Oreochromis niloticus: one gene and its partner. The protein of the gene in region 1 interacts with the protein of each later gene in a pairwise test. Links are inferred from orthologs where the notes say so. Each region holds a gene or a part of one and is shown on either strand. Other genes may lie near its edges.

Region 1 (7,844 bases):
TGCCACTCTACCTAAATCACTACAACAGCCTCTCCTTACCTCCCTATCTTCACTCTCTACCCTTTACATTAACACCTCCCTTCTGCTCAAGCATTCATAACGCATCTATCTCCCAGCCTGTTTTCACACCTGAACACCAGAGTCTGGAGAATCAGGTGAGCACACTGGCAGCAGTTGCTCATTTTCACAGGTAGCACAGAGCAGGAGACAGACCCGTTCATAAGCGTTCTTACCACCAGAAACATTCTGCGTGGTTCGGGCAAAGCTGCTGCCTGTGGAACGTGCAGGAGACGGGACAAAAGGCAACCAGTTGCTCGCGCTGCACGCTGTCAGCCATCATACAGCGGTGGATATTTGCGTGCTAAAAATGCACCGCGGTGGATTAACATCTATAAAGCTTCAGTCATGAACAGTTCCTGGACGCCTCTAGTCGACCTCGCTAGCAGAGAAATTTATTTCCATTAAAAAGACCTTTCCATGGCATCCCACAGGGATTAACACCGGATCCCAATCACTTCATTATCCACATCCTTCCCATCATTATACATGAATCCATCCCTTGTTAAAGATTTGAAGCTCAGCTGTGTGTTTCCGAGTACCTCTTGGATACGACCCCTTCCTCTCTTCTCCAACCTGCTGTATTTAATACCAGTCACACATAAAAAATACATAATGGTTTCAGTATGGTTAATAAAGACTTAATGGCCATGTTGTTAAGTGCAAATACAACAGCCAATCACAAGCCACCAACTCAATGCGTTGATATGCGTGCTTAAAAGGGTCTGACCGAATACCAGTACCTAAAAAAATGGCTGGCCAGTGTCGGTTATGTATTTTTTTACAGAAGAGAGACAAAAGTCAAACTAGTGAGCATTTTTTCTTCACACTTTTCCTGCTGTCTTTCTGAATAAATAAACAATCCGAATTATTTATTATTAAACATTAAAAGGTATTAAAAAGTAACTCCACACTGATCTCTGAATACTTTTCCACACCATGTACCACATGAAGGTGTTTCTAAATGTGTGTTTCACTGCACTGAAACAAATGTTGGAAGAGCTTGTATATGGGATTTATGGCAACCACGGGATCAGATTTCTTTCAGTACTTGGATAACAACAATCATGGGCAGTGCAGATAAAATCTGAAACATGTGTTTACAGGCAAGAGTCAAAGCAAGCAAGGAATTTAATTAATGGGTCACTCATACATTTGTGCTCGCATCCTCCACGGAGGACAGAAGTACTTGAACTAGCGACAGCACTAATAGATATGTCCAACACCATAAAAGTACTAACATCGGAGCCGACGGGCTGCACTGACTCTATAGGTTCACTCTGCAAGTGTTTGCTAACACACAGTGGCTGCAAGTGAGTGAATTACAAGAACCATGGAATAAAACAGAAAGTGTGTTTGGGGTTTTTTTTATTGAAAGCTGCAGATTCAAATTTGTTGGTGTTGTAATATTTTATATTTCTTTCAGTAACACGTTTAAAAAGTAGCAAAACAAGTCTTTTAGATAGAAAGCAAGTTTAACCACGATCACAGCTATCTGCTGAGATATCTGTGTGTTGAAAGCACTCTATGGGGTGTCCAGTCATTCATTGCTTAAGGCTACAGGACGGGCTTCAAAGATGAGAAATGACATAATCAACAAGTAATGCAAACCCACTTCTGTTTTTTCGTGTTTTTCCTATAAATTGCACAGACATCATCAGAAAAGAGGAACACTTAAGCATGCAGCTGGTGGAAAGAAGTGCAGCTTTTTTCTTTCTTTTTCTTTTTTTAATCTTGAGCATTCACTTTGTCAATCAGTCTGCTGCCATTAGGAATGCTCGTTAAAAAATTATAGTGCGAGTGAAAGCATTGGCTACCACTTGGGACGCATAGCCTACCCTGCTCTGAGGTGTAAACAGAGTAAAAATAGCTTGCTATCACAGGCTTCCCTACAGTCCCGTTATATAATGGTCCATGCTAGGATGAATGACATCACGGGTAGTCCTGCAATCACAAACCGTATGTCCTTTACAACCAGCTGACAATGTAAAACACTGTGTAGTATTACGTGCGCAACAATAAATGCTTCCTACTAATCGAAACATGCAAAACACCTGCGGTTACGCTTTTTTTTAAATTGTAGAAATCATGTGGACTGTGGTTAGTAGTTCGCCTCCTTTCGTGTGGAGAAAACACTTCCGCGATAGTGAAACGTAGATTTAAAAAAAATGTAACGCTTTCCCGTGACAGTCCCTGTCAGTAAGGCAAGAGTTCAGAAGAAGACGTATGCGGCCCGAAGCGACATTATTCGGACATGTCCGACAAAGAAATAGTCTGCAAAGAGGAAATGTTTTGAGCCGAGGTCGAGTGGCGCAGTTACTGGAAGTACAGCGCCTGCCCGACTCCCAACTCACCCGGCGGACGCGCTCCTCGCTCGGTCAGAATCCAGCCGAACCTCCGCCCCTCTTTCGTCCCATTTAAACAACACTTTGCGTTCACGTTCCCAAATGACAAGTATACCCACCCACAGCCCGCGTGGCCGTGTACTGTGTGGTCACTTAAAAATAGGTCAGAGTGCGAAGTAAACATTTTCTAAGGCTTTGAAGTAAACCAGAGCTTCAGCGCCACCCTTCCCAGTTCTTCCAGCCATTTTTTTTAATTTAGCCAGCTCCAAAAGAGAAGAGTGACAACGTGAAAGCGGTGACAGGTTGGCGAAAGCGGCTCTGTGGAAATAGTTTTGTGCGACTTACTGCGGGGTGTAGCGGGCTGCTGAGTTTGTGTCTCTCCTTGTTGCCAGGGCTCCCCTGCTCTGCTCCGGCGCTGACGGTGGAAAGCGTCTCCCCTCCTAATGATGTCTGCAGCGCTCGGCTAATAGCTCTCTGCCCCCACCTTCAGAGAGAGAGAGAGAGAGAGCGAGGGAGGGAGGGCGAGAGAGAAGTTCAAAACTGGAGCAGTTTGTAAACTACTCATGCAAAAATATGAGAGCTCGGAGCACAGAAAGCAGTCACAGAGATACAAGAGAGGTTCGCTGACAGTGCCAGAGTGTGGGAATACACAGTATTCCTTTATTGGCACGATTGTTTTACTCACAGTGGAGATTGGGCTGCTTTTTCAGGAGCAAATGCAAAAGCGCGCTGTGGGAGAGGAAGAATGGTTAATATTAATATTATTATTTCTTTTTAACTCAGCCTCACTCAAAAAGTGGCTTCTCAGCAGTGTAAACACTTTATCTACAATACAACCCTGCACAGCTCAACACTGAGTTTATATAACTCAAGTAAAATTCTGAGGCATTTATACTTAAAGCTTAAAATAAGGGGGTCTCGACAAATATGGATCTATTAATCAATACTTCCGTGTCAAAATGATCCCACACTGCTTCAATAATGTTGACTGATTGTCCTCCATTGTTTGTTTTTTCTAACCAGGTATGTATTTATTGCATTGGCAGTGTGTTTGGGATCACTGTCATGATGAGAAATGAAGCTGTTGCCAACCAGCTGATTTTCAAATGGTATTGCTTGGTGGAATAAAATCTGATGGCACTTTCCCTTCTCTCAGAATGACTCCTTGACAGCCTCCCGTCCACGGAGACCATTTCTGATGAGGCTTTAGTGAACAGTAAATGGATCAGCTGAAGGGCCCATTCCTTAAGGACAGACTGTTCATCTGCTGTAGATTGTTTTTAGGCCTGACACTTCTTCTTTTGTCCACCGCCTGCCCAGTTTCCTCAGATTTTTTTCAAGGACACAGTGCACACCATTTCAAGACATGCCAGATTTTCAGCAAATAGCTCTTCGAGGTGTAAAAATACTGTTTCCTGTCTGTCACACTTTGTTAGCTTAGGTATTTTTCATAGATTCAACAAAAGAAATGGGAACAAATTATGTGTTTTTCCAGCAGCCTGCTAGTAACAAAGTGCCTAGAGACAGAATTTAACGTTTAATTCATAGGTCAGTGTTAAGTGCGTACAAGGACTGAAAATGAGTAAAAACAAAAAAGCAGCCAGTATCTAATGTGGCTCATAACTTTTGCACAGCGCTGGCCAAAAACATTTTTACAAAGTCGTAGTGGCCTTGACCTTTTCCACCTAAAGCTAATCCTTTCATCCCTCAGTGCATGTGAACTTCTGTGCCAGACGTCCAGAGACACCGCCTTCACATAGAGAGGAAGGACAGATGGACAGCCAGAAAACAGGATGCCTCGTAGCATAGCTGTCACCAGCAAGGAGGCATAACGAGTCATAAAGTAGATCCACCTCCACTGGCTAAAATATCAAAAGGCTGCAGGTCACTGCTTCAACCATTTAAATCTAATAATGTCATATGTATTATGTAAAACATATGTAATTATAATGTGACACGTTGTGCACTTTTCCTGTGCTTTTGGTTAGTATATTGGTACATCTGTGTATTATGTAATCTAGTGTTACTAATTTGAATAGATGATATTTTTTATTAGCCCATGCAGGGGAACAAAAGTGTCACAGCAGCAAAACAAAGTACATAAAGTGTGATAAATGAAGAAGAGAACATAAAAGTTAATGAATATTATCTGAACACAAGCCACAAAGCATATTAGGAGTCTGAATGAATAAATATAACACGCAGCACGCCTGTGGATCCTGGATGCAATTTAGCAAAAACTCAAGATTCACTTCAGATATTTGTTCTTATTGTTTATGGTACGAGGTCAGTCCTGTTTTCAGTGTGACTTGCTGCAAAAAAACATGTCATCCTTGGATTTGACTGCACCGGGAAACTTCTGCTTTTTCTCAGAAGAGAAGAAGGTCAGGGTATGTTTTTTTTTTAAAGCCAGAGAGTTCAGGATCTGTTCAGCTGAAGGCAGTCACTGACAGTCAGCTGACAGTGACATGATGGAACGTCTCAGCTGCCGACAGCGACTGTTTTCACATACACACGCATAGCTACAAACATAAACACAATGATGGAGTGATGCTAGAAAACATGCTTATGAAAGATGTTTATGCACTCGTGTCCCGATTAACTCTAATTCACTTTAAGGGGGCTAAATTCAATTCGCTCTAGTTCAAAGTTAATTATTATCAGTTATAATCATGCGTAAAGCATGTGTCAAATAAGCACAAAAACTAAGCTGTGCCACTGAAATAAGCTATCAAGATAAAAGAAATAAACACCCGCTTAACCCTCTCCTCTTTTTTGTGTTTTTATTATCTTGACCTCTGTGACCTCTCCCAGATTTCCAATGTGACAACAAGTGCCTTTGCCTCTTCGTCAGAGGAGAATGCAACCTGACACTGCCCGAGAGCCGAAGGGTGCACGAGGCTGCGGAGTGACAGACGATCAGGGATCTGTCCCACTCCCTGCGAGTCACTCAATAAGTGGCCTATTGTCCAGCACTCTATTGTGCTCTTGTCACATGCATCCCAAACAAAGAGACAGAGAGGTAGGTTGCCCTGTGTGCTAGAGGGCTAGCATTACATTCATGAAGAGATGCGGCGAGTTGCTGAATGGACTTTGATATTTAAGTGTAGGCAGGGAATGAAGAGCTTCATTTAAAAAAAACTAAAAAAAACATTTAATATCCAGACCACATGTGTGCCATTTGATCCTGGAAGCCCTCGTAGTCCAAGTAGTGAGGGAAATAGTGCACTAACATGCAGAAGGCCATCAAAACTGTGGAAGTGATCTGCAACTTTGAGACATAAAGGAGACTTAAATACGTTGAGATTTGACTGATTGTTGTCATTACTACATCAGCCAGATGTGTGATATGTGCACTTTTGTGCTAACCTACCACCCATAATGCACCTCGTAGTTTCAGTTTCACGCCGTGTTGCTAAAATAGAACTTCCTATAATAACAAATGTGTAAGGCCAGAGTCAAGCGGAAGCAGTAAGTTGACCGCACGTTTCAAAATAGATCACCAGTTTAATAAAAATACTTCCTCAGTGTCTCTCGAGCTCACAGGCCTGCACATACGCAAGCATGTACTTGCACCTTCTTGTTCCCCTCTGCATGTACTCACAGGTTCACACCTACTCGCTCTTACAACGTGCCGATGTAATCTTTACATATAGGATGCTAAACATCTTCTGCAGACAGTTCAGCAGCCCTCTGTTTGACATTGCCTCCCTTTGAATGGTTTGCACCGTTCAGAGCACAACGTGACTCCATAGCAGTGTGTGTGTAGTGCAGGGCCATTGCGTGCTTGAGGAATAAATCAAAAACTACTCCCATGGGAGGAGCAGATTCTTCGAGGGTTGGGTTCCTCCCTAGAGATGTACCTGTGTTCTTTGTAGGAGGTGTGAACAGTATACACTCGGGTACAATGAAGTGTGCCAGGTGGGGCGTGTATGGAAACAGCCCTTGAACATAGAGAGTGACATCCTTAGTACCTGCATAGTAAATGAGTCATACATAAAAATAATAAGCTTTAACGTATTTCAGCTCCAAAACAGACAAAGTATGCACAAATAAGGGATTTGACAGTTTATCTGGCAGATAAATAAATAACACTCTGAGCTTAAAGCAGGCACTGAGGGAGATATATATAATTAATCATCACCAGTCTTTAAAGGCAGCTTTACAGCGATTTTCAAAGATTTTAATGGTCACGGACATTTCTTTTTTTGGACAGCAGAGAGTGACAGAGAAGCAGCGTGTCTGAAGTGCATGCTACTTTACACACTACAATCACCTATTGAGGGCTGCAGCTCTTCAGGCATCGTGGTATTGCATTTTCCTTATTTGTGTATGTGGACCTCTGCATCGTCGTGTCAGCTCTTCACATTCTCTGCAAAAAACCAATACAGACTTTTTTTTAGCAGAACAGCAGCGCTCCTCCTGTATGCTCTGAAAGCAGCTGTCACTTCAGATTTCAAGGCTGCGCTCTGTCCAAGTCCCCTCTCTGTGCACAGAGGGGAGGTGGTGTGTTTCATAGCTACTCACAGCTCCCCCCATTGTTCAAATGTGGAAGTGGTTATTGGTTTACAGTGTTTCCCTACATGCTGTCATGTCACATACTGCAGCATACAGTTGCGTAAATGCAGAATTATCCACAGCTTTGCTTGTAATTACACAAAATAAACACCTTTTAGACAATTTTGCTTTGTAACTAGTAAACTGGTTCCTGCATTTTTTCACATACATCCCACAATCCTGGTTAGGAGTGAGCTAAGATCCTCCTTCACAGTCACTTCCATTATTGCAATCATTTTTACATTACTTTAATGAAGTGTTGTGGAGTCTGGAAAATAATTATTTGATCCCCTGCTAAATTTCTAAGTTTGCTTACTTACAACAAAATGAACAGTCTCTAATCAACCAAAAATCGAGAAAAAAGACATGACATAAAAGGTTTGTCATTGAGTGAAAAAGTATTTGATCCACTACAACACTGCCAGAATTCTGGCTCCCACAGACTGACTATCAGTCAGTTACAGATACTCCCAATCTCAACCCATGACATGTATAAAGCAGGCTTGTCCACATTGTGGATTTCTTCCACTCGAACCTCTCCACCACCATGGAGAGGACCAAAGACCTGTTAAAGGACATCAGGGAGAAGATATCACACCTAGACAAGGCTTGAACGGGCTACAAGACCATCAGCAAGAAGCTTGTTGAGAAGGTGACGACTGTTGGTGCGATTATTCAGAGATGTAAGAAGTATAAAATGAATCAGTCAACGTTGATTTGGAGCTCCATGCAAGATCTCGCTTCATGGGATGGTCATGAGAAAGGTGGTGTGTTAGGCCAAAAATGCAGCTGGCACCACAGTCACCAAGAACACCATCAGTAACAGGCTACCCCATTACAGTGGGGAACTAATTACCCAGTATTTATCCTTTTATTATAGCTCTT
Region 2 (7,560 bases), on another chromosome or scaffold:
AAACTGCAGTTCCCACCGTGAGGAGCCAGCCTCTATCTGTGCCTGGAATCAGACACACTCTCTCTGTACCCTGAGGTTTTCTCATGAAGCTGTTTCACAACCACAGCCTATGCAAGCATGTCCAAACACAGGCTGCGGTTCTCTTTTTGGAAAACGGATTGGATCATTCGCAGCCAACCAGTGCGTCAAAGCCAGCAGCGAGTTTCATTGTGTTTGGTGGCTGCAGAGCCACATCCTGTTACTCTCCACCTGTTTTGTTTTTTTGTTTTTTCGGCTTCTGACACTCACTGGGTTCCCACAGGGATGACTGGCATGGTGTGTCACCATAGGCTTGGCCATTGTTGGAGATGACTTTAGCCGCAACGGGGATTTTGTAGTGTGATCTTTGTTTTCTTTTACAGCTGTGTTCCTGACATTGCGACACACGGTCATTTAAAAAAAAAAAAAAGGTGCTTTGCTGCGCTCACCTGGCAGTGGAGGAAGCGGAAACGAACTTTGGAGCTGTGAATCATCCGTCCATAATTCTTCACATTGATGCTGCTCTTCTTCCAGCCACTGATCGGGTCGTAAGCAAACGGAGGATCCCATTTGATGTTTTCTATCGTCTGCAGATCTTTAGGGGACATTTCCTGCAACCACCAAGTCACAATATTAGTTCGGGCATGTCAGTAGTAAAGCAGTCAGACCTGAATTTAAAGTCAGAAAGTTTGGCACAGGGGTTGAAAACCACAGCCGAGCAGTTCTGCTTGGCATGTAGATGAATGACGTTATGTTTTCGGAGCTGATGGAGGTACGTACCTTCCTCGGGGTGACAGTGCAGAGGATATTTATGATGCTGTTGGACTTCTCCTGTCCCTCTTGGGGATTATACTTGCGAAACAAGCGACTGCTGTCATGAGAAAGGAAAGCTATGTGTTAATACTCACTCTCCAGTGTTTACCACCTAATCCATGTTTAGCTGTTTGGTTTATTTCCCAATCTAACTTCACGCCTATAGAGATTCCAATATTGTCTCCTATGTATAGTTAGTGAAATAACCTAAATCTAATGTTTGTTATAGCAAAGCTTTTCATTCCAAAGTCCCACTTTAGTTTAAATCACGTTGTCTGCCTCCTAAATCAATCAGCATCCCTATGCCTGGCTCCCACTCTATCAGTGCCAGTCCTTTAAATGATAAGAACAACTGAGTCTTGTGTTTGTGATAGCGAGGATATCCACAGGGAAAAATCAGCATTCAATGTCTCTCTTTGTTTTGCATGACCCTCATCTATTACCATTTGTGTCACATCTTCACGAGGAAGCTCCCTCACTGCAAAGATAAGGCTTTAGAGACTGCTTTTACAGCTTCCGCTAGTAGTTTATCTGCTTATCTGTACATATGTGTGCCAGTGTCCTCAGTTTAACAACGCCGGCTTTTGTTTTTATGCTGGGAATCAAGGGTTGTCCGTCCAGGAAGTCCATGAGCAGAATTAATTATTTATTAGTGCCTATTGAACAATAAAATAATAAAATTTTGTAAAATGCATTTATGCACAGTGAAAAAATATAATGGTCCTGCATTGTGATGTAATCTGCAACTGCAAGGTGACAGGGGAATGTGTTGTAGATAATAGACAGGTAGTGGACTCGCACACCCAACATTCTCCAAGTCACTGCTGTGGCATTCAGCACCACTCACTCCCCTTTTCTTCAGGGAATACCTGAGCCTGGCCTGATTCTCCAACACAAAGAGGTTGTACGGTAACAGAAAACAGAAACACTGACTGTATTGTTCGTCCTGATCCAATGATCCTGCCTGGAAGGTGTATCACTGTCCAAGTTTGAGCCGCTGAGCTTTTGAAACCAACTGTCTTTTTAGGGTCGCACTGCTCATCCTTTTATTTAAAAAACTTTAAAGCTACATGAGATGTTTAACCAAACTACATCCTGAATCGTTAGTCAGAAGATGAAGAATAGAAGCAGAGGTGAATTAGAACCAGATGTGATGGTCTAGCAAGGCTGAATCAAGGGTAACATGCCCAGGCATATAATCCTGGGGGATTAAAAGAAAACCAGGTAGAAAACCAAGTGTAAGCCAGCCATCTCCATAGTCACGTAGTCATGTACTAACTTAGCAGACTAAACCTTATCATTTAAGAATAACAGCTCAAAATCAATCATGTTAATACTCAAGTCTGGATTGTTTTTTGGATTGTTCCCTCTTTTGGAGGGAAAACAGAGTAATCGACAGCTGGCAGATCATCTTCACAGAGATGCAAAGAGGAGGCAAATGGTAACTGGATCATTGACACCGTTGGCCAGACAGATAGGCTGCTCAGGCACGACTCCGGGACTATTCTGTATTATGATCCTGAACCTGGCCCCACAAAATGCACAACCTCTGTGTAACCCCACTTCTCAAACCCTCAAGAAATACCAAGAATACCTTCCGGTTGAAAGCCAGTGTCTAAAATAACAATCTGCTGTCAAGGGCATGACATGTGCTCTGTTTGCACACCGACACAAGTACAGTATGAGCACCCGGAGAGACTGAATAGTTCTTACCTGTTTCTGCGTATGAAACTCTTGCTGGAGAATCTGAAGTTGTGCTGGGGGACACATGACATACTGCTCCCCATGCTGCTTTCCTGTGTCGGGGTCTGCGCCTCTGTGTAGATACGCTGTAAAGTCCCTCTGTGATGGATGAGTCTAATCCAGACGAGTGCTGCGCTCACTGCTGAAGTCAGACTTGTACTGAGGCAGAAGGAGGCAGGGTGAAGAGTCACTACTGTGTGTGAGTAAAAGGGGGTGGAGTTTGGGGCTGTGTCACAACAGGCTGTGTGTGTGTGTGTGTGTGTGTGTGTGTGTGTGTGTGTGCTCGGTGAATAAGGACACAGACTCCCCCGACTTGCCCTGTCTGCTAAATCAATCCCAACAACAAAGCCAACAGGAGGGGGTTCAAGGAGAAGTGTGCCATTTCACACCTTCCTGGAGCCAAATGGAGCTCATTGTTGGCTCACCGCTGCAATAACTGGCCACTAAACACACTGGATGGTGTGTGTCAATCACAGGGGAAGATGGGAACTTCTGCTGGCATGTCCAGACATGAAAATGCCTCCACACTTAAGTATTCTATTTATTACTGCAAGGTAAGTATCTGTGAGCTTTTGGTTAGTAGATTGTATATAAAACACAGCACAGAGTTTAAAAAGGGTCAAAACATCACTGTTAACCCCAAAGAGGGGAAAATGTCTGGCGTCACATTGTTTTCAGAGCACGGATATATGAAATATGATATTTTCTTATCCTGCGATACAAGCAGAGGAAACAGGATGCTTGTGAATTCAACCACCGAAATTTTCATATAAGGCAAGAGGTGTATGCAAACACATCTTGTTTGCGTTTTAGGAGGATGTTCCCAAATTAAATATCCACTACCTAAAAGTAAGAGTCACTCTAAGAAGTTATTCGGGATTAATAGGTCTGAACACCCATATCTGGTTAAAGGTGTCATGTCAATTCCCAGGTTTCCAACTTCCTGAACAAGCGGCCTTATCAGTCAGACAACGGAGCCCAAAACTCATGATCACGCTCTGTTTGCTCATTGATTAGATCATTGTCTGTGCTGAGCTGCTGCACTAGTGTCATAAATTTTAAGCGCACGCTGCGGTCTGTCAGTTGATCCCAGCCTGTTCAACCAGTTGTTTAAACGGATACACCTGAGGCGCTAACAGTCATCAGCCTCCAAACTATGCCATCTTTCTCACTGCGTTATAATGTTCTCTGAAACCCCGTTTGAGGGCTCGAGTAATTTAATCAGCAGTGGAAGTGAATATAAAGCGTCTCGGTAAGCGGCAGACGACAGAATTGAGACCAGATAAGAGGGGGGATCGAGATAAGCAAAAACCCAAGCAAAAAGAGAGGAAGAAAGGCTGAATGTGGCTGTTGCCAGGCAAATTTTTCTTAAGAGTATCATGAAATAATAATAATAACTTATACTATAATGATATGTAAGGTTTATAATAAACATGTGATTCCTTTTAGAATATATCTAACTTTTTAAATTTAAAATAATGCTAGTGAGCAAATGATAATGTACCGGTAGCAGTATGTATTTATTAGCAGTGTTATTTACTTTTTGTTGTTTTTACCCACATTTAAAAACTTATTTCAGCTGCTCCCTTATTCACAAGGTGACAACACAGCACATGGACCCACTTATTATATTTTGTTTTTACTCCGGATCCCCTTCCTGACAAATCTCTGTGATTTGTGTCTCCTCCTGGTTTCAGCACCGGAGACCTTTCATGTGTTGCTACATTTTTACCTTCAGTTCAACCAAAACAAAAGATCACCAAAGACAGGGTCTGAAGATGTCACAGATATTTTACTCAGTAATCAAGCAGACTGGAGTTTTAACATTTATTTTTACTTTTCAGGTCTGGCTGTGGATCATCATGGAAAAAGCAGGAAGATGAATTTGATAATTCACACACGCAGCCAGAAGTGACTCACACTCATAGTCATAATATTACAAAGGAAAAATGAAACAGGGAATTTTCCCTGTGAGATAAATCCACTTTAAGTTGCTTTGGTCAGTCAGGTGCCTCATCACGCATGCTTTTTATCAATAATAAGTTTTCCCAGATATTTCACCATCTAGTACAGAAACAGGTTGTATGAGACAGAACCCAGAGATGATAGACAAGTGCTCTAAATCTGCCCCAAACACACACTGATAATTCAGGTCGAACCTACATTTTATGGCATAAATGCTGTTTGTAGTATTTCTAAATCTCACCATGACTTTTCTGGAAAAATGGTGGTAAAAAGATATTCAAGCTTCCCAATCTTGGGCTCCCGAAGTACTGGCAAAATTGATCCTTAACTGTGGAAGCCTGAATATAGTTACTAAATATACAAGTTTTTGGATAGGCTGGAAGCACAAAAGTCAAATATGTAAATATCCATATTTACAGTTTAACTCATGTAGTTAGGCCACCTTTTAAAGATGCCTAATGTTCTGCCTTGGATCAAAGCTGTGGCCAGACTTCCCCCCCCATTAGCGATAAAGCGAACACAGAACAAACAAGCCACACATTAGCTGGAGTGAAAATTTCTGTTCCTGGCGTGTTTTGCAATCCTGTGTGGTCACTAAAAGTACCTACACCTTTTCAACAACAGGAATGGGCGAGCCGCATCTCATCATGTTTGCAACAGACACCAGCGATCCAAGAACGGCTCATTATGCATCGTTTGGTCAGGCGTTATACACCGCTACTTTCCTTTGTGTGACATCATGAATACCTTTAAGCAACTGCTGTTCCAAAATGTGCGCTGTTATATTCATTGTAATGCTTATTGTCTCTGTAAAGGTGGCGTTTTAAACTCCTGTGTTATCCTTGAACAACGTATGTGACCAGGAAGCTTGTAGTAACACAGGACTTTCCTGAGCCTACAGCACAGAGACTACAGAAGCATTATAACTCTCCTACAGGTAATTTAACATTACTCAATAGGAAGAGGAAATACTTGGAACTATGTCAAAAACAAGACCTATCTGGAAGTCAGTTTCTTTATTCTGACTCATGGATCACATTTTCCAAACAAGTCCGCTATACACGGCAATTTCCAAACAGTTTCTATTGAAATTAACGACTTTGTTTCCATTTTCCAAATATAGTGCAGTCAAAAGCTATTTGACAGCACTCTTTCCTGATTTCTTTCTTTATGCATATTTGTCACACTTACATGTTTCCAGTCATCAAACGAAACAAAAAAACCTGAGTAAACACAAAAAAATATGAAATTACAATTTCATTTATTAAGAGGGAAAAGTTATCCAAACCTACCCAGCCATGTGTGAAAAGTTTAATCATGATTTTAAAAAGTTAAATCACGGGTTAGCTCTAAATAAGTCACATTTTTTGGAAAGCTGAGTTTAATTTCACTAAACACACTCAGGCCTGATTACTGCCAGAGTTATCGAATCAAGAAATCACTTAAATAGAAGTTGTCTGACAAAATAAAGTACCCTAAAAGACCTCAAAAAGCAACAAATAACAGCATGATCTAAAGAAACAGCTGAGAGACAAAGTCACTGATGTCTCTCAGTCCAGAAAGGGTTACAGAGCCATTTCTAAGGCTTTGGGACTCCAGCAAACCACAGTGAGAGCCATTAGCCACAAATGGAGAAAACATGGCACAATGATGAAGCTTCCCAGCAGTAGTCAGCCTACCAAAATGATTCCACAAACACATCGACAACACATCCAATGGAGTGACAAAAGAACTGCAGCCTCATTTGCCTCAATTAAGAGTTCATAATAAGAACATTATAAGAAAATGAGAAGGAGACCAGGCAAAAATGGCATCCATGGAGAAAACCACTGCTGCCTAAGAAGAACACAAAGGCTCGTCTCAGATTTACCTAAAAAATATCTTGATGAAAATATCCAAGACTTCAAACTTTTTGGAAGGTTTGACTTCTGTTACATGTGACATAAAACTAACACAGCATTTCATAAAAAGACCATCATACAGATGGTCAAACATGGTGGTGGCAGTGTGATAGTCTGGGGTTGCTTTGGTGCTTGACCTGCTGTAATTGATGGAGCCATGAATTCTGCTCTCTACCAGAAAATCCTGAAGGAGGATGTCCGACCATCAGTTCATGCCTCGAAGCTCAATCTCATTTGAGTTATGCAGAAGTGCAATGATCCAAAACAGCAGCAAGCCTACCTACACAAAAAATAAATAAATAAAATAAATAAGGCGGTTTTGGAGTAGCCTATTCAATGGCCGGACTTATATCAGACTGAGATTGTTTGACAGGATCTTAAACAGGCCGTTCATGCTCCAACACCCTCCATTGTGGCTGAATTAAAACAATTCTGCAAAGAGGAGTGAGCCAGAATTCTTCCACGGTGATGTGAAAGATTCACTGGCAGTTAAGATAAGATAAGATAAGATAACCTTTATTAGTCCCACACGTGGGAAATTTGTTTTGTCACAGCAAGAAGTGGACAGTGCAAAAGTTCTGAAGCAAAAATTAGAATACAATAAGAATAAATACAGTACACAACTGTACAGAATAGAATAAAATAAAAATAAAATACTATATACAGTAGAATAAAATATACAATAGGATAAATATAGAATACAAATGCTATATACAACGTTATGACAAACGCTTGATTGTAGTTCTTGCTGCCAAATTTGGCGCAACCTGTTATTAGGTTTTAGGGGGAAATAACTTTTTTACACGTGAATTTCAAAATGAATGAAGTCATCATTTTAAATAAGCATTTACTTGGGTTTTTGATTTTTAAATTTGTTCAGTGATCTGAAACATATAAGTGTGACAAATACGCCAAAATAAAACCCAGGAAGGGAGCAAATACTTTTTCACAACACTGTATATCACGCTCCCTCCATCTGTGGTAGGTTGAACTGTGTTTCTCCCACAGAAGTCACTCGTTGGTGTTTACCCAGTCTCAGCGGGTGAGAGCAGCAGTGCTAAAGTCACACCTCAGGCCACTAAAACGGAGCCTGGATGTGAGGCCCCCAACGTCAGGTGTC

What was found.
Region 2: the proteins of atxn1a (region 1) and plekhn1 interact in binary tests that used the Homo sapiens proteins (3 or more experiments, as listed by UniProt). The link is inferred for Oreochromis niloticus from reciprocal best matches to the Homo sapiens genes ATXN1 and PLEKHN1.

Annotation. Positions count from the first base shown.
Region 1 is NC_031985.2:20,491,298-20,499,141, forward strand, and holds the start of atxn1a (ataxin-1a), read right to left. Parts: upstream 3,011-7,844; 5' UTR 2,748-3,010; intron 1-2,747. UniProt on the Homo sapiens protein: Chromatin-binding factor that repress Notch signaling in the absence of Notch intracellular domain by acting as a CBF1 corepressor. Binds to the HEY promoter and might assist, along with NCOR2, RBPJ-mediated repression. Binds RNA in vitro.
Region 2 is NC_031984.2:21,800,100-21,807,659, reverse strand, and holds the start of plekhn1 (pleckstrin homology domain-containing family N member 1), read right to left. Parts: upstream 3,010-7,560; 5' UTR 3,000-3,009; intron 2,734-2,999; 5' UTR 2,619-2,733; coding exon 2,545-2,618; intron 890-2,544; coding exon 799-889; intron 630-798; coding exon 468-629; intron 1-467. UniProt on the Homo sapiens protein: Controls the stability of the leptin mRNA harboring an AU-rich element (ARE) in its 3' UTR, in cooperation with the RNA stabilizer ELAVL1.